Linked DNA regions of Schizosaccharomyces pombe. The gene in region 3 interacts genetically with the main gene of each other region. Each region holds a gene or a part of one and is shown on either strand. Other genes may lie near its edges.

The links.
Region 1: mutations in pfd2 (region 3) and mkt1 together harm fitness more than expected from each alone (negative genetic interaction), as found in Schizosaccharomyces pombe (one large-scale study listed by BioGRID).
Region 2: mutations in pfd2 (region 3) and mmp2 together harm fitness more than expected from each alone (negative genetic interaction), as found in Schizosaccharomyces pombe (one large-scale study listed by BioGRID).
Region 4: mutations in pfd2 (region 3) and sgt2 together harm fitness more than expected from each alone (negative genetic interaction), as found in Schizosaccharomyces pombe (one large-scale study listed by BioGRID).

The regions. Positions count from the first base shown.
Region 1 is NC_003424.3:1,014,656-1,021,959, forward strand, and holds mkt1 (post-transcriptional RNA stability regulator Mkt1), read right to left. Parts: upstream 4,399-7,304; 5' UTR 4,221-4,398; coding exon 4,214-4,220; exon of another isoform or gene 4,173-4,213; coding exon 2,075-4,172; intron 2,015-2,074; coding exon 1,711-2,014; 3' UTR 1,448-1,710; downstream 1-1,447. Other genes in the region: dnf1 (P-type ATPase), read right to left, coding at 1-673; oac1 (anion transporter), read right to left, coding at 4,957-5,919; protein toe2, read left to right, coding at 7,262-7,304.
Region 2 is NC_003423.3:2,762,352-2,767,506, reverse strand, and holds mmp2 (endopeptidase catalytic subunit), read left to right. Parts: upstream 1-2,323; 5' UTR 2,324-2,510; coding exon 2,511-2,752; exon of another isoform or gene 2,753-2,824; coding exon 2,825-2,974; exon of another isoform or gene 2,975-3,041; coding exon 3,042-3,192; 3' UTR 3,193-3,378; downstream 3,379-5,155. Other genes in the region: PAN complex subunit Ppk26, read left to right, coding at 1-50, 110-150, 196-352, 406-501, 541-685, 728-877, 923-1,033, 1,071-1,296 and 3 more; DNA-binding transcription factor, MBF transcription factor complex subunit Cdc10, read left to right, coding at 3,917-5,155.
Region 3 is NC_003424.3:512,132-517,274, forward strand, and holds pfd2 (prefoldin subunit 2), read left to right. Parts: upstream 1-1,670; 5' UTR 1,671-1,699; coding exon 1,700-1,727; intron 1,728-1,776; coding exon 1,777-1,867; exon of another isoform or gene 1,868-1,914; coding exon 1,915-2,038; exon of another isoform or gene 2,039-2,112; coding exon 2,113-2,214; 3' UTR 2,215-2,420; downstream 2,421-5,143. Other genes in the region: fol3 (folylpolyglutamate synthase), read left to right, coding at 1-929; putative misfolded glycoprotein sensor Yos9, read right to left, coding at 2,421-2,951, 3,091-3,351, 3,403-3,477; rna4 (Prp4 family U4/U5/U6 small nuclear ribonucleoprotein complex subunit), read left to right, coding at 3,666-3,702, 3,765-5,116.
Region 4 is NC_003424.3:3,626,504-3,631,695, forward strand, and holds sgt2 (SGT2 family TPR repeat-containing protein), read right to left. Parts: upstream 2,453-5,192; 5' UTR 2,384-2,452; coding exon 2,281-2,383; exon of another isoform or gene 2,241-2,280; coding exon 1,620-2,240; exon of another isoform or gene 1,572-1,619; coding exon 1,342-1,571; 3' UTR 1,172-1,341; downstream 1-1,171. Other genes in the region: protein Rqc1, read left to right, coding at 1-1,041; DNA recombination mediator Swi2, read right to left, coding at 2,670-4,838; noc201 (Noc complex Noc2 family subunit), read left to right, coding at 5,033-5,192.

The DNA.
Region 1 (7,304 bases), 500 kb from region 3:
CATCAATTTGGGAGGAGTCATCGTAAGGGTTTATGATAATTATTCGACCATGACTCGACTTCAAATACCGTGTATCACGCGAAAACAAGTTGGATAAGAAATTGGAAATGAACTGCAAAGGATTTGGTATTGTAAACTCTTTATGCCGCGACTTTAAAAATTCCGGAGGAATTGGAGGACGCCCATTGAACACAGGTGATGCCTCACGAGGAGAAGTAGGCTCAATATCATCTAATGGGATTTCTTCCACAGGTCCCTCTAGGAAGGAAACATGTGCTTTCTTCTTTTTTCCCTTTCCTTTCGAGGTCTGCTCAGTTTTGGTAGATGGAGTTAACACTGAAACCATAGAATTAGCTGTCAGTTCTAATACCGACTTGAAAGATGATTTCAGTCTGCTATCTGATGGCGAATTAACATCGTGTGATTCGTCAACTTCAACAGAATCCAATTTTTTGCTGTCCCCATTTATATCAATTTCATCAAGCTCATTTTCATCAATTCCTAATGGAAGAGCGCTATCCTGAAATCGTACATGAATATCCTCTCTTCGTTCGTTAGTGCCATCATCTGCAGCGTTCCAATTAAATGCACCATCTTCTTCTCGATTAGTCGTTTCATTTAGAAAATTTGTTTCAAATCCATTGGAATCGCCTGCGATACCACTAGACTTCATAAGTGCATCTGAACAAATAATGTTGGTTGTTGCTAGATTCACACCAAATGGAAAATCAAACTATTATTTGATGGTAGCTTGCTGAACCACACGGGACATTGTGCTACGCCTTACAAAATGAGACTACACTAATAGCAGTTCATTAAAGTTAAGCTTAATGAACTCCACAGTAATGGCTTACGCTTGCTTAAGACTTTCTAAATAGTGTGTCAAGTCTCGCAATATGCAATGTAAACAATAAGTTACAGAGATTTTGATTAACTGTCAGTTACTTCAACTACTACCGTTTATATTTAAAAACTGACATTGTCAGAATTTTGTTAACTATCGACAAATATTATTAGATGTTAGTGTGAGAATTGGAGATTCTCAAAGCTAGCAAGTTGTCGTAAACAGCATCTATACAGTAAATATCTTAAAACAAAATTATACTATCCAGCTTGTAAGTGGTTAAACTAAGCAAGTCTTTCTGTAAGCACAAGGTTTTTAATTCGTGAAATTGATTAGGTAAAATTATGTTTCTGATGCGAATTCGGTTTTTTGTGAGTGAGCCAGTACACATAAACTAAAATCTAAAAAATCCGCTTGAACTTATCAAATAAGTTAAAAATTATTCCCATACTATAGTGTAAAAACAACGGTATAAGTTATTTTTTGACAGGTAAGTGTATTGCTAAAAATAAATATAGTATCCTTTAGAACAAATTAAACTATATCTATAAAAAAGTTTAAACATCATTGGGTTTTCATTCAAAGCTGTGCTTCTCTATTTTTCTTTCCCTTCCTTTTTTCGGGAAGAAACAATGTAGTTGAATATTAATATTAACAATACTTTACTTGTTCGAAATAATATCTCAACAATAATCAAGTGTAATCACATGAGTGTATAGCATGTTGAAAATGCTTCGACAGTATGAGGGAAAGTAATTCATGTAAATGTGCATTATGACTGTGCCGAATGTGTTAAAAGCTCCCGCTAAAAGAAGGATACTTCTCTCACTAATTTATTTCTATTCATAAACTACTAGTTCTGGTCTTCATAAGCCAAGAGAAAATATCCATTGGTTAGTAAGGAAGAGTTTACTTAAAACGAGCTTGCCAATGGCACTTGTATTTTCTGCTTCCTTAACCCCTTCCATAAAAGTTTTCCAGAATTCCAAAAACTGGGCAATATGGTTTTCCGCAGATCCAATGGTTGGGAATTCCTTTTCTATTATTTCATAAGCCTTCTGGATGTTTTCCTGTTGAGAACTGGCTTCTTGCTCTTTTGAAATGATTTCAAAAAAGCGCTTGACAACAAAACCTGAGACAAGGCTACCATTTATGTTTTGAAAAGGTAAGCTAAATTGGTTAGAAACTTTAAATATAAACAAAAAAGGAGAAAGAGAAAAAAACACGTACGTTTTTCGGATAAGTTTAGGATCTATTTTGCTTTTGTCGACGTTTCTGTTCAAGATGACCGAGGCAAGAATCATGGCCATGAGTTCCTTCAAGTTGGATCCGAAGCTAGTTTGTAGCTGATAAAACTGTAATAAATTCTCATCAACTATAGAAATTTTACTAACTTCAGGTCTCTGTTTTATTGGTAGAAATGTTGCAACCTTTGCCAAGAACTCTGTGGCAGAAGTTATGGATAAATCGGCGATGCTTGCACTTGAGGAGGAAAGTAAAGAGGGCTCTTTTAATTGTCTTAGTCTAAGAAGCTCGAATAAAACAACAACGGAAGTTTGGTTCTGTAAGTGACAATTTTCCAACGCTTTTAACAAGGGGCATCCCCAAGATGTTAATTGATGAGATGTTAAAACGAAAGATCTAATTTGCAAAAATCTGTAGCAAGAACTTAAGACGATTTCCGCAGTAGAAGACAGAGGATGCTTGGGAGGGTTTTTTATGCCAATATTACCTTCAGTGCAAAAGCTTTTCTTTACAAATACCGGATCGTTCAAAGCACGTAGTAGATCAAATAATACAACGGGTTCTTCCTTTAAAAAATTACTAGATAAATAACTCGGTAAGTTTTCTTCGTATATCATCCATGCTCTCGTATCATTATACAAAGGAGGATCATAGCTGTGCATTACCTTCAAAGAAGCTTGCTGATTATGGCCATGAAGGGAAACAATATCTCTGGCTTGGTAAAATCTGTTAAGCGGTTGGGTCAATAAATTTAGCCCCTGCGACCATATTTCTTCTAAATCGTCAACAAATCGCCGTTGATCCACAGCCGCTACAGCTGCTGCATTGTCGCGACCAGGATTTAAACCAGAATTAGCACCAGAAAATGTTCCTTGTGATGCTTTGTCACCAATATGTTGTTCAAGTATGGAAACAGGATCACTAAAACATCCAGATACTAAAGCACCTATCATTTTGCAAGGAATAAGACCGCGAGAAATGTAAAAATAAATCTCGTTGGGAAGACGGGTGCCAAAATATATATTTATGTCGTTAGGAACAGATTCTGTGGGAACTGGTGGTAAAGTGAGACCTTTTGTATCCATCACAATTCCAAACTTAGAGAAACAAACAGCCCTTTTGTACTGTTGAAGATAATCTTGAAAAATGGGCTGGGGAAAGATTTCAGCAAAATGAAGGACTGCACGATACGCAGAACCAAACATACGAACAAGCTCCATTGCGCTTTTAATTAGAAAAGTACCCTCAATCTGAGGAAATGTAGGAGAAATAGCAGTACCACACAATAAACAGGAATCGATGAACTGCTGCCATGAAAGGCCGTTCGTGTCTTGAAGAAGGGCATTTCCATCTAACCATGTGAATGAACTTTTAGCGGCCGAATTGATAGTTGTTTGAGTTGATGGGGATGAAGGGTCAGATGAGATTTTAACGTTAGAAGATGTGTTCATAGAAGTAATAAATTTTTTAACACCAAAAAGAAGCAGATCCGTGGAACCATAGATGGCATCGATGTAAGGTGAAGATGTGCCGTTTAGAAAATATGCTAATTGAGCCATAGCCAGATACGGGGCGACAAAATACTCCACATTACATTGATCTAAGTAAAACTTTACCTGGTCGCAAAGACGATCTAAATGATCTCGCTGATTGGTGTACAAAAGTGTTGGTTTACTTTCGCCGTAATTCGCAGGACCACTTGCGTCCATGCGGTACATATTACGCTGAATATTTGCATCATAAGGATCAAAAGCTTCGAAATCTGTCAATGCACTATGACTTTTTTGCTTTCCCGGCACTTCCAGCTGGCTGCTGGCTTCAAAGGTAAGAGGTATACCATTGAAAACAAAAATGGGTGTGATATTCTCAGTTCTCAACTGCTCAAGGAATTCCGAAATTCTGTGTTGTAGATATTCGGATTCACCATTTACTGCCAAACTTTGAAGTTCCTGTGGGGTAAAGGAATGAATAATTTGAGTCAAGTAAAAACTTGCGTCAATACCCAACTTACAGTTTTGAAAACTGCTCAAGCTAGATTTATGTTGATGCTTTTTGTCTATGATAAACAAATTCAATGAACGAACTAAAAAATTAGCAGATGAGTAGCAAGGTATTTTAACTTACTTGTCATTTTTTTTCTTTTTTTTAACTGAATTTACCAAACAGCAGTTTAAACCGTAAGGCGGTTTTTTTTTACTAAACCTTTAATAGATCCTTAAAAACAAACAGATTATTTTTATATGTAACGGATATATTCAGATTTTATTATGTTGTACTGAATAGAGGTGTCCGATCCGTTTATTAGAGTCAGCAGGAACGAGCAAATTAGTGAACACGAATACTACGATAAGAAGTTCAGAAAATATTTTATTAAACTAACATGATTTATCTAAAAAACATATAACTGTTGGCGAAATGTAAAGATTTCAAATAAAAACGACGCAAAATGAAGAAATTTATCCATTGTGACTACACAAAGCGGTAATGTTTCCAATCTTTAATTATAGAGAAAATAAGTATATTAATAACTAAATAAAAGGTAAGTTGATATACAAACGCAGCCAGATGCCTGAAATCCAAAAACAAATACGTACATATATTGAGATAACTGACGGATATATATTACAAAAGACAAAAACATGCCGATTGATCAAAAACAGCTTGAAAAGAAAAATCGACTTTTAAATGAAAGTAGAGTGGAAATAAGTAACGAGACAACGAATGTAAATAAAAATCGTTCTTAGATACAAACATCATTTCTTTACAATTTAACTGTTCACTTGATATACACCAAAGCCACTGGGGGTTTTTATGGTTTAGTACCAAAATTATTTATAAATAAAGAAACGTGCGTTTGAAAAAACAACTTAATCCTTTTGGAATTTCAAAAAGAGTTTATTGGTTTGCTCCACGAAGGTAAGACAGAAAATTGTGTGAGGAGCGATTCTGGCCAAGTGAGCACCAAAACCCTTATATAAGGCAAAGAATCCTTCAGAGCGGATTGTTTTAAGGATGCAATCAATCGGATTTTTATAAAGCTCCTTGTTCTTTTGGTTGTACATACGAGTCATAACAGTATCGAAAATTTGCATGGTGCAGCATACACCAAATCCAGAAACAGCACTAGCAGTTAAGTGTTTGATCATACCCTCTTCCAATAGATTGTAATGCTCAATCATGCGTTTAGCCCAATTATAGATAGGAAGCTGAACAGAGGAACCAGAGACAGTACGGAGAATGGCAGCATCAGCACCAACAAACAAACCCTTAACACCATTTTCCTTAATAATACGACTGAATGCATTAAATATATGCTTGTAACCATACTGCTGGCCAACGGGAAATTTAGGAGAATACGACTGCATGCGAGTCTTAACCAAGAAAAAGGGAGAGCCAAACAAGGCACCACATAAACCTGAACCGGCGCCACTTGCAACGTTAATAGCTAATTTATTACCCTTGGGATCATCAAGGAACCACGTATTCAGAGTACGTCGAATCGGTTCGTAAAACCCGAGACGACAGCCATTGAGGCAGATTTGATAAACATAAGCAGTACCAAGGCCTCGTTGAAGACCTCTTATACCTTCATGTCTAGCGATTAGAGAAAATGCCTGACCGACGCTTTTGTAAATTCGCTTAGAAGGATCCAATTTTGTCAATTGACCTTGAAGTTGAAAACGCGTTTTAATAACTTCGAAAGGATTTGTCAGTGTTACAGCACCACAAGCTGCAAGACCACCTGACAAAAATCCACTAACGGGACCAAGTTTTTTCACCTGAGTAGGATTGTGTGCAGGAAGGGCTTTGATAGTTTGTTTCTCAGACATGACTTAATATTGGGATTTTTTCTTCGAATTTAAACAAAAAAATCTGCCTCAAATGGCAATTCAATTTGCGTAGCAAGTGTTGGCCGAAGGAAAAAGAATTCTTGCAGTTGAGATTTTTTCAGTGATAATAGCCTTGATTAAATTGTGCGCGGAAAATTTACCATTGCGGCAATTTGGGAAGGCAAAACGTAACTTTCGTACGGACTCAAAAAATAAGCAAAATGATACTAATAAAAAAATTATAGATTGAATTGCAATTTTTTTATTTACAAGGCACCCTAATTGCTCTATACTTTTTCCATTTTAATGCTAAATTAAACAGGTCACATGTTACTTATGTTTACTATTTGAAAATACAGATACTAGAACGCACTTAACCTCTTTAAATTAAGGATTTACCTACAATCATATATATTTTTTTTTTCTTTCTCTGTCCTACAAATATTTGGTAGAATTTTAAAATTTTTTGAATAAAAGTCATTTGAAAGTTTGAGTAATGTTTGTCAACAATAAATGCGATCGTTCGAAGGAAGGAAGGTACACACAGTTAACATTTAACTGACTTTACACTTTAAAATAGGATTCGTTGGAAACGCATGGTAGATAATGTTAAAGTAAGACAAATGCAAAATCATAGTAGCAGTAGCTTTAGATGTCATTCACTTCTGCAATGTTGTACTATTATAAAGAAAATGCCATAAAGTGATTCAAATAAGTGCATGCTCTCAACCGTCTACCCTTAACCAAAGTTCTTACTCAGACAATTAAGATGCCTTTTAGTAAGATTTTATACATACGGGGTATAAATTGTGATCAATGAAAAAAATGCAAGTACTAAATTTGATGGATAGTTTGTCGCAAGGCAGGCAATTGAATTTTGAAATAGAAATCAGTCATATTTAAGAATGGTAATTTGTTAGTAAATGCATTAAATCCCTGTGTAAATTATATGTTTCTATTTGAGTGCTTTACGTATCTAACGCATGTTATCCGAAAGCTGTCTGCTGTTGAGATTGCTTACTATTGAAATTAGTGGATATTTATAAAAGTTGTCCAGTGTGCCTTGTGTTTGGTGTTACGAATTTACTTTTCGCCAACATCCAAACACAAGTGTCTTTGGTTCAAAATCAGTATAGCAATAAGATTTAAAGATATAATTCTTGCCTATTTAAAGCCAAGACTACTTTTTTATATATTACGGAATTAACTTCTTTTCGCTCCTGTCAATTGGTCGCAAGTATCATTTTTTTGACGTCTATTGATTCAAGAATTAGAAGAATCTAGCATTCAATTGTACTTTATCTTTCACAATATTATATAACTTGATGTTTAAGAAGAGCATATGAGTGAAACAACCAAGTCTGGTTCTAAAAAATCAGGGCAGA
Region 2 (5,155 bases), on a different chromosome or scaffold from region 3:
ATGGATCCTGTAAGCATTCAGAAAATGGATGTGCTTTTCGACATGATGGTGTAAGTATAGGCGTATTCTCTTAACTTCAGAGAAGCTTCTTGCTTACGATTGTTTGTAGCCTTTCATCCCTTCTTCAGAGAATTTGGAGCAATACTCAGTGTATGATTTTTTTTAAGGCTTTGTACGTATAATTAACCTCGCTAGTAAGAAAAAACTGAATGCTGCGTCGGCCTCTTTTCAACCTGTTCGCGCTTTACCAGTAAAGGCTGCTGGCGCTGCAGTATTTGTTCCTAAATCACAAGAAAAATCTCTTTTTCTATCTAGAGAGCGTACCCCTGTTGCGCTTTCACCAGGTAGTCATGTATGTCTGGCTAACAGCTTATATTTTTCTTACTAATTTTACTGTAATTTTAGGCTATTAATCCTTACAATAATGCATCTATGTTGGTCAATGAGCCTTTTCATGATGACTCTGGGGTTTATTATACTCGTCAAAACCAGTTTAAACCCGTAAGTCTAAAGCCTTATTATTGTTGTTGACAACAACAGACATTGTACAATTTATATAATCCGCAACCTTCTCCCATGCCAACTTTACTTCCTTATGAAAGAACTGTAAACGGTCTATTTATTGATGATACGACTAGAGAAAGAATCGAGAGAAAGAGCGAGGCATCCCGTCAGACAATTTCAGGTACTTAATTTGTGTCTAGCTTCCTTTATACTAATATTTTAGCGCTTCCGTCTATTATATCTTCATATACTTCTTTGGCGCCACTGAATACAAAGCTTTATCGGTATAAAGAGCAAATTGGATTCTCTTCTTGGACGTACAAATGCACTTCTTCCATCGATGGGAATGCTTACGTTTTGAAACGACTCCAAGGTAACCTTCAGATTCATAAATTGCAATTGCTAATATATTTAAAAGACTGTTCAATTAATATTGATACGTCGACTGTCGACAAGCTTAAAAATGTTTTTCATCCAAATATCGTACCATTCCATTCTGCTTTTCATACTGATACATTTCATGATTCTTGTAAGTTTATTTTACTAAACCTTACTAATTAATCAAGCGTTACTATTAATTTATGATTTTTATCCGTGTACTACAACCCTTGGTGAGCTCTACCTAAACAATTCTAAAAATTCTGTCAAGTTGGAGGAAAATAGAAAAATTCCAGAACGAGAGTTATGGAATTATTTTTTCCAGCTTACTATCGCTTTGTCATATCTACATAAATCCGGGTTTGCTTGCAACAAGCTTACTCCGTCGAGAATCCTTGTGGATCAAACTGAAAGGTATTTTTTTTTGAACATTTTTTATGTTTTGATGGAATACATTTCTTTAATTCATTAATGACTTATACTAACGTGTAAAGGATTCGTATTAGTGGTTGCGCTGACTATGAATTGGTAGTGTCAAACAAGCCTCCATTAGAGGAACGAAAGAAGCAGGATTTTGTAGATCTTGGAGTTGTGATTGCGAATTTAGCTACTGGAAGAACTGATATGGACATGTCTTCAGCCGCACGAGCAATTTATAGTACATATTCGAGGGAATTTTATAAAGCGGTTTTATACTTTGTATCGGAAGTTCCTGAGGATAAAAACTTGGAGTTGTTTTTGCAAAATCACATAGAAAGTTTTTTCCCTATAATGAGTTCACCATACGTGGAATGCGAAAAAATGGAGAGAAAAATTTCGGACGCTTTCCAACACGGTCGATTTTTTAATATTTTGTGCAAGATTATGTTTATTATTGATAATAATAGAGCTTCTCGTGAATATCCTATCGCACGAGAAAAAGAAATTTCATTAATCTACTTATTACGAGATTATCTTTTCCATCAGATAGATGAAGATGAGTGTCCTGTGATAGATTTATATCAAGTGCTGAATCGCCTGGGAAAGGTAAGTTTTTTACATTTTTCTCATTATTGCATTTATTAATTCATTAGCTTGATGCCGGTATAAATCAAGCCATCGCATTAATTTCCCGAGATGAACTTGATTGTGTTTCAGTTTCTTATGGGGAGGTAAGTATTTGCTCAAAAAGCCATAGTGGGTGCTTAGTAAATTAGACTACTTTTCCACACTATATAGCCTGTTTGTTTGCAAAATTACTAACAATAACAAATGTAGCTAAAAGCTTGGTTGGACAACGTTTACGAAATGGAAATAAATTCTTAAAATAAAACATTTTTCTTTACAGAATATTTATTTGTTTTTTTGTATCTATTACCATGGTTGTTAATTTAAGTAAATAATAGTTTTCGCTATAATAATATTAGAAGGAAGCTAAGCTTAATGTGGTTTTGAATTACCTACTGCAACACACCGTATTGAAACAAAAACGATCAGGAATAGAAGCCTGACACTTATCAGATAAAATTCATTAATACGTTTTCCTGGTTTAATTATTAATTACGGAAACTCCCATGCTTGTTAAGGTACATACAGACGGTTAATCATAAACTTCTTAGAGGAGAGAGTTTAGCAGTTGTCCTCAAAAAATGGCAAACCCTTTCGTTCGAAATCAATCTTTTAAATCAGTATTTTTTAAAAATTTAGTCGGAATTACCCTATGGGTACCCGTATTAATGTTCGTTGAACAACATGTAGTCAGCGTCGGTACAATTGAAGGTAGATCTATGAAACCAGCCTTTAACCCTGAGACAAACATGCTGCAGAGAGATAGGGTACTACTTTGGAAATGGAATAAGGATTACAAAAGAGGAGATGTAGTTATACTACGGTAAGTTCTTGGATCGTTGCAGGGTCTTTCGGTACTGAGTTTCCCTTTTTATCGTTACTAATAAGCAACAAGCTCTCCAGAAAACCCAGAGGAACTATTGGTAAAAAGAGTTCTAGGAGTAGAATACGATATCATGAAAACGAGACCTCCTAAAAAGTTGTCATTAGTACCCGTTCCCGAGGGACATGTGTGGGTCGAAGGCGATGAACAATTTCATTCTATGTAGGTTTCCAACAATTGTTTTTTTACTTTTTCGTTTTCTTCTATAGAGATATTAACTAGTTTACAGTGATAGTAACAAATTTGGCCCAGTATCGACAGGACTCATCACTGCCAAAGTGATTGCAATTTTGTTTCCCTTCTCTCGTGCAGGGCGTATTGATCATGAAGGTTTCCGAAAGAATGCAGTGTTTTTAAGTGGAAAACGTTCTGTTAAGTAAGCTGCACCACAGTGAACCTGTTTCCTTGACAGTTTAGTTCCATGCTGGTTGGTGCTTATTTACATTTCTTTTAAGGAACACGTTATCCTTAAATTTAATTTATTTCGACGCGTCGCGTTCTATATATGACGTCATTAATATGTCTATCTATTTACCTATTTGAAAAAGATGGAAGTTGGAAGCTACTTTGTATTAGAAATACCAATAAAAAAATATAATTTTTTCATACTCAACATCAAAACTTTTATTTAGGGAAAATTAGAATTGACTGAAAAATCCGTCTCTTTTGCATATCCCGAAACAGTAAAGTCGTTGAGTATAGCAAAGTTGGAAATTTTTCAACAGGGTATTTGAAATGAGAAAGAATTCCATTTCTAAGTAGCCTTTAAATAAAACCCCCAGAAGAAACGAACATTGAAGTAGTCCTTTGTTTTCCTTAGGAAGCCTCATATATCGTTACTTCGAATACGGTCTAACGCCGTACCAAATGTATACAGCTGCGTGAACCTTCCCAGAGCGAATTTGTGTATAACACGAAATCCGAAAAAATTACTTCTATTTATTTGAAAAAGAAAGGAATTCACAATCTCTTAAACAAACCAAGTGGTGAGGAGCTCGAGTCTTCTTTCATGGTCAGTTCAGCACCCTTATTTTCGAGAAAAACGTGCTGCCCTTTATAAAAAATTCGATATTTTTTCGGCATTTTTTATTTTAATATACTATAATGGCTTCAGCCAATTTTATTCGCCAGTTTGAGCTGGGGAACGATTCTTTTTCATACCAAAAACGCCCAGAGGATGAGCCATCACAACCCCTTTCAAACAGAAATATAAACAAACTAAACGATTCATCTACTTTAAAAGACTCTAGTTCAAGGATTTTTATTAACTCCCAAGTTTTACGTGATGGCCGACCCGTAGAATTGTATGCTGTCGAATGTTCAGGCATGAAATATATGGAGCTTAGCTGTGGGGATAATGTTGCTCTTCGAAGATGTCCAGATTCTTACTTTAATATCTCTCAAATACTTCGACTTGCTGGTACTTCGTCATCTGAAAACGCCAAAGAATTGGATGATATTATCGAGAGTGGGGACTATGAGAATGTTGACTCCAAACACCCTCAAATAGATGGAGTATGGGTTCCATATGATCGAGCAATTTCTATAGCAAAGCGATATGGGGTTTATGAAATTTTACAACCATTAATTTCTTTTAATCTTGATTTATTCCCCAAATTTTCAAAGCAGCAACAAATCGAAAGTTCTTCAATCTCCAAAAATTTAAATACTTCTTCTTTTAATACGCGATCCCCTTTGAGGAATCATAATTTTTCAAACCCTAGCAAGTCTTCAAAGAATGGGGTGCACACTATAAACAATATGCAGAGTTCACCTTCACCTTCTTCCTCTTTCTTACTACCTTTAACTCAAATTGATAGCCAAAATGTTAAACGCTCTAACAATTACCTCTCCACCTCTCCACCTATCCTTGAACAGCGTTTAAAACGGCATAGAATTGATGTCAGTGATGAAGACTTACATCCCTCCTCACAGTTAAATGATAATGAGGCCTCTTCATTGTTTCCAGATACGCCAAGGTTGAACCATTCACTTTCTTTTGTATCCTTGGTTTCTAGTCTTCCTCCACTTGATCAGAATATTATGCAGGATTATCATACATCAAAAGACATTTTGACCTCTATCTTTTTAGATGTAAACTTTGCTGATTCCAGCGCCTTAGAAGCAAAGCTGTCGGACTCATTAGATTTGGATGTCCCCATTGACGAACTTGGACACGCCGCTCTGCACTGGGCAGCAGCCGTTGCCAAAATGCCTTTGTTACAAGCCTTAATACATAAAGGAGCTAATCCTTTACGTGGCAACCTCACAGGAGAAACGGCATTAATGAGATCGGTTTTGGTAACCAATCATCTCAATCAGAACTCTTTTGGTGATTTACTA
Region 3 (5,143 bases):
TCCAATGTTTTCATCATTCAGGTGTTCGTGTGGCTGTAATTGAAACAGGAATGGGTGGTCGTTTGGATGCTACTAATGTATTTGAAGAACCAGTTCTTTCAATAATTTCACGTATTTGCTTGGACCATCAAGCATTTTTAGGAAATACCTTAGAGGCTATTGCTAAAGAAAAGGCTGGGATCTTTAAAAAGAATGTTCCGTGCGTGGTTGATGGGTTAAATGAAGTTAACGTCCTAAATCAATTAAAATTAAGTGCAGAGGAAACGAGGGCACATCCGTTTTATTTGGCAAAAGGAAAATCAGGTGAAAACAAAAATGAGTGGATCATCAATACTCCAAATTGGGGAACCAATACTTTTAGTACTCCATTGAAGGGGGATTATCAAGGACAAAATTTGGCTTGTGCAGTAACTGCTCTCGATATCCTTTCTTCGTCATTTTCAATTATGCTTCCCCATGTACAAAATGGTGTAAAAAATACATCTTGGCCTGGAAGGCTTGACATTCGTTCGGTTCCTTCTTTGGGTGATATTTTATTTGACGGAGCACACAATAAAGAAGCTGCGATTGAGCTTGCGAAATTTGTAAATTCGCAAAGACGTGAGCACAATAAATCAGTATCATGGGTAGTAGCTTTCACTAACACAAAAGACGTTACTGGGATTATGAAAATCCTTCTTCGTAAAGGAGATACCGTTATAGCGACAAATTTTTCTTCAGTAAGTGGGATGCCCTGGATTAAATCAATGGAACCTGAAGTTATAAAAAACAGTATATCTTCGGAATCTTCTGTGGAATGCTATACTGCAGATAATCTAACAATAAGCGAAATTTTAAGACTGGCAAAAGAGAAGAATTCCAGCGTAATTGTATGCGGTAGTCTTTATCTTCTAGGAGACATGTATCGTTATTTAAAACTGGACGTATAGCCTCTAAATCGTGCTGTTTACTTTCATACGTTTTTCCTTGTTTGACAAATTTATCATATGAATTGTCACAGAGTGATGAATTGTGCTCTAGAGAATTTTGTTCCATGACTTAAAAACTAAAATTTACTTTCAAAGAAGCTTGAATGATGCTATCAGGTTAATAGAAAAAAGATAAAAGATTTATATTAAGCTTTGATGGGTTTTTGGTGTGAGTTAAGATATTGAGTTAGAAATTGACTTATAGATTACGAATACATTAGTTTAAATACTTGGTGCGCTCTGCCTGCAGCCTTAATAAAACAGATATTATTTTCATTATGTGACTAGATCTTGATTTACAATTCTTACAAGATAAGGTGGGATAACTGAAGCATATTTAGCACATTGAAAGATTCCGCCTTTCTTTTAATTATTATTAAATACTGTCGTAACTGCAATAAAATAAGTAAAACGCTGAAATCGTTAAAAAAATATACCCTTCTATCTCACAGGTTGAGCTAATCAAGTTGATATACGTATAGTGCAAATGATAGGCATTTAAAAATTAGACTAATATAGTTTAACTATTACATTAATTTTAAAATACACAAACATTTAATTACTGTTTTAAAATTATACTCAGAGTCTAATTAATTACAGATTTACCGTAATCCATAGCGCTTGTTATCTATCATTACAGCAACAATGATTGCTACGCACTAAAATTCGTATACGTTTTAGATATAACATGTATAATCCACCAACATTTTTTGAGTATACAAAAAAGCAGAATGGCTGAACAACCTTCTCGGCAGCAGAGTATGTACTGTGGATGAGTTTAAAATACAAAATAGTTGACCAGTTCCAGTTCTACAGACGCAGTACAATTCATATAAGTCTCGGTTACAACAAATTGCGCAGAAGATTGTCGATTTGGAAACCGATGCTGACGAACATAAGTATGTGATACATAAAAAATTTTTAAATTAAATACCTAACTAAAAAGACTTGTTATGGACACATTAAACTCCATGGATAATAATCGACGTTGTTTTCGAATGATCCATGGAGTGCTAGTGGAGAGAACGGTGGGAACTGTTGTGCCTATCCTTAAAACTACTCAAGAAGGGGTAAGGAATTTTTTTATTTTGACCCTTTATTGTCAGATGAATTTTTGGTCTTGATGTACTAATCAAAATATTAGATTCAAACAGCCATGAATGGTTTGCTCGACCAGTATAAGCAGCTCGAAGCAGAATTCCAAAAGTTTCAAAAAGACAATAAAATTCAAGTCGTTAGACAATAATACAGATGACTCCATTAATTGCGCAGTTGCGTTCATTGACACGCCGACTGTTTTTCAAGTGCTTTATCTTCGGTTTAACATTTTTTTCCTAAACAGAGGAACAGGGATAGAATCCAAGAGTATTTGTGTCATCAAATATCATCACTTTATGTTATTAGAGTTTCACTTAAACCGTAGACTTAATACATGTAGTAAGTTAGGTAGAACTAACTTGATTGCGTCTCTACCTCCTTCACCTCAGGCGGAGATGTTTGAGCAACTTCATCAACAACGTGCTGGGAATCCTTATGGTCGACTTCGTTTGATTTTTCTTTAATTACATTATAGCACACAATTTTTTCAGAGGGTATGTCCTCTTGAATTTTGAAAGCAGGTAATGAGCATAAACCGGGAACGTGAATAGTCATTGAATATGCACAGCTTGAAACTTCTTGATATTGAGTAATTTCAGGAGTATCCGAATTTGTACTGCATTCATAACTTAGAATTACGTGTCTTGGTCTCTTAGTAATGTCGCACATAGTCCCATTTCGGAAAGTTGTTTGCAAATATGCTTTACCTTCAACAAATCCAATAGCCCAATTTTCTTCCAAATTCTTTTTAGTTTGAGTGTTAGGTGCCGTACCAAGTATATACATAGGGTTAGCAAGGACTTTGTCAGAACCTTGCTGCGGCTCCAAATGATATTGACGCACGTGTTGACCGTAGACATAGTCATAAGTCCAATAACCACGATTCTAATACAATGATTAGCTTGAAAAACACTACATGTACTAAAAGTAGTCATTAATTCTAAAATTTTTATGGACATGTCAAATAATGACCTTTTAGTAAAGTTGGTTTGTTTAAGACAAATAAAACAATTAGAACTCGTACCTCGATTAAAAATACATTAGCAAGCTCATTGATTTTTTCAGTCCCTTGTATCCGCAATTCTTGTAAATCATAGCTTGGTTCGGTTGTGCTATTTTGTTTTATAAGAGACGCATTGGGATATACACAAAAATATTCATGCTTTCCAGCATAGAATAATGACGATAATTTAGTTTTTTCAGTTTTTTCTTTAATTGAGTCAATGTCGCCCTCTAATATTGACACATTACTCCATTCAAACGAATATTTAGGATATTCATATGCCTACAAAGGAAGTCCGTTAGAATTGAAGAGAAATTAGGTTCAAGAGCATACATCATTCCAGTCTAACAAAGAAGCTAAACATATTGGAAAAATAAAAAACCCCACAAAAGCAAATGGTAGCACCATAGTCCTAACTTTAGATGAGCCGATTGCAGGTAGAATCAAATGTGGAAACATACTTGAACTGAACATATGCGTTATATCACAGTATACCGAAGTGCGCAAAGCTCGAACAATTTACAAAAAGCTAAATACGATAGTGCGTAAAAAATAGTAGTTTACATTAGAGGTAAGTGTTACACGAGATTGTTAACATGAATGAAAACGAGGGCATTTCACTTGGTGAATTAGGTACGTTGCTACTAGAAGCATTAACTCCTCCTTTTAAATTTTAAACTAATAAAAAACTTTAGAAACAAGACCGTTTTCAGAAGGGATAACGCGGTTTACAAAAGAACAAGCAGCTTATTACGCGGAGCAAAAGGAAAAGGATCGCATTAAGGCTCTTAAAATTCCTTATGAAGATTCCAAAGTTCGTGAATATCTGCGTCGTTATGGTGAACCCATAACTTATTTTGGTGAAGATGCCTTAGCCCGACGCCAAAGGCTTCAGCAATTAATGATCGAAAAGTCCCTAGAAGGAGACAATCCATTAGATGTAGACCAAGGGGCTTCTGAAAATATTGAGAAGGAGACGTATGTTCAAGGAAGTCACGAACTATTAGTTGCTCGTAAAAAAATAGCTCTTTACTCCTTGGAAAAGGCAAAGCTCAGATTAAAAAAAGAACGGGAAATTTCCGAGATTCCAGTACCTGAAATTGTACTTTCCGGAAAGTCTTCAATCGAACATTTACAAAAGGCTGAATTGATGGGCTCTCAGATAGGTGGTGAGCGACCAATAGCCATTGTTAGATTCAGTAATAATGGAAATCATTTTGCTAGCGGAAGCTGGGGTGGCCAGGTCAAGGTGTGGAATTCTGATAACCTCTCAGAGGTTCAATTGTTTCGCGGCCATACCGACCGAGTTTCTGGTTTGGATTGGTATCCTCTATGTCAGGCATGGGATGCAGATTCTGAGCAGCTGACTTTAGCGACTGGAGCCGCAGACAATACTGTTTGTTTGTGGAAAGCAAGTCAATCTACTCCACTGTTACGTTTGGAAGGACATTTGGCTCGTGTTGGTCGAGTTGCTTTTCATCCAAGTGGTGATTACTTAGTTTCTGCCTCATTCGACACTACATGGCGGTTATGGGATGTACATACAGGCGTTGAGTTGCTTATGCAAGAAGGTCATTCGGAAGGGATTTTTTCAATCGCCTGTCAGCCAGATGGGTCGTTAGTTAGCTCAGGTGGTAATGATGCTATCGGTCGGATTTGGGATCTTCGATCAGGCAAATCAATAATGGTATTAGATGAACATATTCGTCAAATTGTCGCGATGGCTTGGAGTCCAAACGGCTACCAACTTGCAACTTCTTCAGCCGATGATACTGTGAAAATATGGGACTTGCGGAAAGTGTCATTGGCACATACTATTCCCGCACATTCTTCTCTTGTTTCAGACGTTCGTTATATTGAATCAGGTGTTAACAGATTCATCGCTACGAGTGGTTATGATGGCTGCGTAAAGCTTTGGAACCCGTTGAACTGCTCATTGATTAAAAGTATGGTGGGACACGAAGAAAAGGTTATGAGTGTTGACGGTTACGGAGACAGATTTATCTCATCAGGATACGATCGTACAATCAAGTTATGGTACCCTTAAATTTGGGTGTGGCAAACGGTTTTGGTA
Region 4 (5,192 bases), 3.1 Mb from region 3:
TATGCTTTCGACAGTATTCTTCATCCTAGATTTAATCTTGCAACTGGTGCCACGCGGCTTCCTTTTGCCATCCCTTCTAATCGGCGTCTTTTCCTCTGTATTTGGAGATATTTACAAAGTCTACAAAGCCGGGGTTGTTGGAGAACCGTCTTTGAGTTTTGTAAAGCTTTACTGCAGTTCGACATGTCAGACCCCTACGCAATTGGTACTTGTATTGATATATATGCACTTCGTCGAAGAGAATTTGCTTGGATAATTGATTTTGCGAATTACCTGGAAAATTCAAACAAAATTTCGGACACGCCAAATATGTTATATTCGTCAGCACTTGCCATGTTTTACGTACATGGTGATACTACCGACACACGAGCGAGTATGCTTGCCGCCTTTGAACGTGCACCTTACATGCTAAGTGAATTGTTGGACACTTTGAATATCTCTTTCACAAAATCCTCTATTCCATCCCCTCAAGATCCAGTTCAAGAGTTACATTCTGCTATGTATGCTTTATATGCTAAGGATAGCTGGTCTGATCCTACGGTATTAGCATTCATTAATTCCATTCTTGAAAAAGAAACCGTGACCCTGCACGATGTAGAAGGACAATTCGCAGAACTCACTGAAAATCTCTCTAGGCGTGTTATCCTGTTAAATGAGCAAAGCTTGAGAAAATTTCTACCACAGAGAATCTTGCAAGGAACTATTTTATCCTTTGATCCTCTACCTCCTGATACATATTTAAGCGAGTCACAAGTCTTTGGTAGAGATATATCTCGTCGAATTGCGTCGTTCTTGTCCGATTATTTATCCAGAGCAAGAGAAGTTAATGAAAATGAGGAAGAACCCCCTGCTCATGAGTTTGATCTTCCTCCTGCTGAACAATTGCTACAACAGATTGAATCGGAGGTTGGTGAAGAATCAGAAGATGGAACTCCGGTGATGACCCGACTACGTTCATTTTTTGGAAGCTTGTTTACATCAACAAACTCAGAGACGGAACCTGCAGAAGAAAGCACAGAAGAGATGGGTCAAGGGGATTGAATTATTTCAAAAGAATTGTTTAATGAAGTCCTTATTTTCATACAACGAAAGCTATTGTAAAATTATCAATAAAAATTAGATGAACTATTTAAAAATAATACGAAAAACGATGCAAACGCTACTGTAAATACGGTAATCTTAACAAACATGTACAATATGATTGATTAGCAGAATGATTGTATATGCAAGGTACTAAAAAATGTCAAAGCAATTCTTCAAGTATTCAAAATGAATTTAAATGCAAGATATAAACTGCTTGAATGAAAAGCAAAAACAAACAAATCAATATACACCTATACTTTATTGAGGGGGAGGATTTCCTTGGTTATTGTTATCAGTGTTGCCATTATTGTTATTGTTCATAAAATTGCGAGCCAAATTTTGCAGTTGGGGGTTATTGGCAAGAGAACTCAAGTCAGGCATACCTCCTCCAGATTGAAAGTTACGGGCCATGTTGGCAATATTAGGGTCATTCATAATATTATTCAAAGCACCCGATTGCATCAAGTTACGCGCCATGTTCATAACAGCTAAAATCACTTATTAACAATGAATAATGTATACACTAAAAAACTTACCAGGATTGTTCATCAAAGAACCTAAATCAGGCATACCTCCTCCAAAAATGGATCCAAGATCAGGAGCGGCACCAGCAGAAGTGCGAGCTTGGTCAGCTCCAGAAGTAGCGGATGAATCCGATGGTTGATTCAATTGCTTGTTAGCAGCTTCCAAACCTCTCTTTAAAACCTCATTATTGGGATCAAAGTCTAAGCCCTTCTTATAAGCATCAGCTGCCGCTGCTGCATCGCCAAGTGACAATTTGGCACGACCAAGTCGTCCAAAGGCTCGAGCATGATGAGGATCTAAACTTAAGCATGTTAAAGCATCTTCTACAGCATTTTCGAATTGCCCTAGCTGATTATACGCGGCTGCACGATTGGAGTAGTAAACTGGAGAGGTAGGATCGATTTCTATGGCTTTAGTGTATAAATCCAAAGCTTTTTGATAATCCTTTGCCGCAATGGCATTATTTCCTTCAAGTTTTAATTTCTCAGCCTCTTCTTTATTAACATGAGCAGTGGAATCCTCCTCCACTGGATGCAGTTTTTCGTACTCCTCAAAAGCAGCAACTAAACGATCCCCTGACTTGGGCTTAATTTCTTCTGGTTTGATTTTAAAAGAATCTTGAATACATTGAGCTGATTTTGGTTAGATTATCTTAAATGGGGTTACACATACCAGCAACCTCCAAGCTTTCCTTTTCTTCTTCAGAAATCGAACCGGTGGTAATAGCTTGCTTCAAATAGTCAATAATAGCCGCAGTAACTTTGTTAGAGCTCATTTTCCTAATCGTTTTAAGAACCGATTTTTTTCGTATTACTGAAAGTATATCGTGAGATGCGCGAAGGGCAAAATTATTCCAAGCGCCGTTATAGATTTTTATATACGTAAACATGCAAATAATAAAATGAATTTTTGATTCCTAATTATATTGCTATTAAAATAACATTAGATAACTATAGTACCTTTAATGTGAATCATGAACTGTAAAATACTGATATGACAAAAAAAAACAAAAATAGATAGAAACAACAGACAGGAAGCAAAGAAAAAACTAAAAACATATATTATTCCAGGTCCCAGCTTTCTGTCTCAGAATTATATTGAAGGAGATGGAAGGGTATTTGCAACTGTTCAAGGTACGTACCAATGGAACATGGCTTGGTGCGTAAATCATTAGCTGATGTGCGTAAAACAGACTGTGGAACTTCTTGAAGCATGGTTGTAAACTTCAAAGAAAAAACAGGAAATAGCACTTCGACTGCTAATTGCGCAGATTTTCGCCAATTTTGGATTTTTCTTTCAACCACCTGTATCTGTTTAGAATTTTTGTCAGTGTCAAGAGCGAGCTCTACAACGGATAATTGTTCTTTCAAGCCACCAATTTCTAATTCAAGGTTACGGATTCTGTTAATTAGTTTGCTATCCGTTTCACTTGGAGCAGTAGCCATTGAGATAGGCTTGGCACAATACAGCCGTTCAGGTGAGGAAACAGTTAAGCGGGTTCGCGAAATCTTCGAAATCGGAGGATGAAATGGTTTAATGAGAGCCTTTCGTACAGACATTTTATTAACATTCTTAAATGGCCGCGTAATTAAATCTTTGTTGACCCCTGGGTGCATAGTAGATTTAAGAGATGGAAGGCTTCGATTTATCAAAGAGGTAGAAAGACAGACATTAGAATAGTTTGGAGTATTGTTCTCATTGGACAAAATAGTATTTTTATAGGTGTTCGGTTTAATAATATTAGAATGGTTTGAATGATTATTCCCAATTGATAAAACACTGTTTTTGTATGAATTCGGCTTAGTGACATTAGTACGATTTTTGCTATTATTTTCATTCAACACAGCTTCGCCTCTGTTGGAAACCATTTCAGTTTGTACTTTCCCATACAATCCAGTCCAAACATTCTCCTTCCGAGATGCTAGAAGATCGACCCTCTTATGCTTATGGGAGGTAGCAGACTTAGGGGGAGTGTAATCATAGTTAAATTTAATACTTGAATTAGGAATATGCGTGGCTTGTTGTTCAGACTCATTGATGCAAGTTTCATCAAAGTCTTGATCTACACCGTAGGGATTCAACAAATCTTCTTGATGTTGAGATTCAGCTAGTGGTTGCTCAAGTCGACGTGATTGTTTCCGTTCTTCTATTGCCATTTTGTTAATGGTAATTAATGAATTTTCGGAAAAAGTTGGCTCCATATCACTAGGTAATGGAGAAATGTCAAAAATAGTCGGCTCACTAGACAATGGATCTTGACCAGTAGAATCAGAAGTTAAATCAGGGAAGTCTTCATCCTCTCTTGATGGCTCAAAATCAAATTCCTCAGAACAACCATTGTTCCAATCGATATGATGAGGTAACGAGGGCTCTGTATATATACTAGGTTTTATGGTAACCGGAATGACTACAGCATCGAAAACTTTTCTCGGTTTCTTAATCCTTGGAGACAGAGTAGGATATATTTCCTCCTTTTCAGGATACTTCCTCCAGCCTGTAGGTCTTCCCCTTCTTCTTGGCAATCCTTCCTCGAAGTTCAAATCTTTATTAACATACGAATACTTTCTTGGCCTTCCTGCCCTATGCTTCACTCTCGTCATTTCTCTTTTCTTCAGCATAATCAGTGCGGCTTCAGAGTCTGCAAATGCAGGGAATAGATTAGTATCGTCTGTAAAAGCCAAAGATTTAAATATAGGATCGAGATCACACAGCTGGTTCCAACCAAAATCACTTTCCGAATAATTTTGGGTTGATAATTGAGATTTACAACTTTGTGAGCTTAACGGTTCAATAACCTGATTATTCTCGTTAGGAAGAGTAACCAGTGGTTGATTTTCAGATTTATCTTCAAAGTATGCAAAGTCTTTATCATTCGAGGACACATGGCCGCTAATCTCTGGGTGGTCATCACAATGGGCATTGTATTTCACAAAAGAGGGAGATTCAGTTTTTGGATCAGGAGTCGTTGTACAAAAGAAAGAATCTGTGATAAATTCATTATTCATTTCATTTAAAGAAAAATCTCTAGAAAAGGTTCCCTTCATCTGGCTTGCTTCTGTTTGATTCATCGGTTTACCATCAGAATAATAGTATTCTACCGGCTCAAAGAAATGGGATCCAAGGTTTGAGCCGACGCCCTTTCCTTGCTCAAACCTTTCATTGTCGTTAGAGGAAATACTTTCAGATCCGGTGTTTACTGGTATCGACTCCTGCTTTTTGTTCACATTCATAAGGCCTATAAGGTTTCTCACGATTCTCAAAAAGCAAAATTCTGTTCAAAGCAATATACATTTAATAAATTTGCCGGAGTATGATTATTAAGGACATATCTTTGGTGTGGAAATTGTGAAGAAATTTGGACTGAGTATGGTGGGCACTAATTCTTGAAGGAGGTATTCTAACAACCTCTGTGCACATACCACACATGGTGAAGTTATCTTCCATTATAAAAGCCAGAAAAGCTAATGCTTTGGCTAAAAAGAATGACAAAATAAAAAAGAAAGACACTGATAAAGGCATACGACAAAAGCATTCTAAAAAGGAGGGAAAAGATGAAACATTGAAAAGAGACGTAGAAAAGTTTA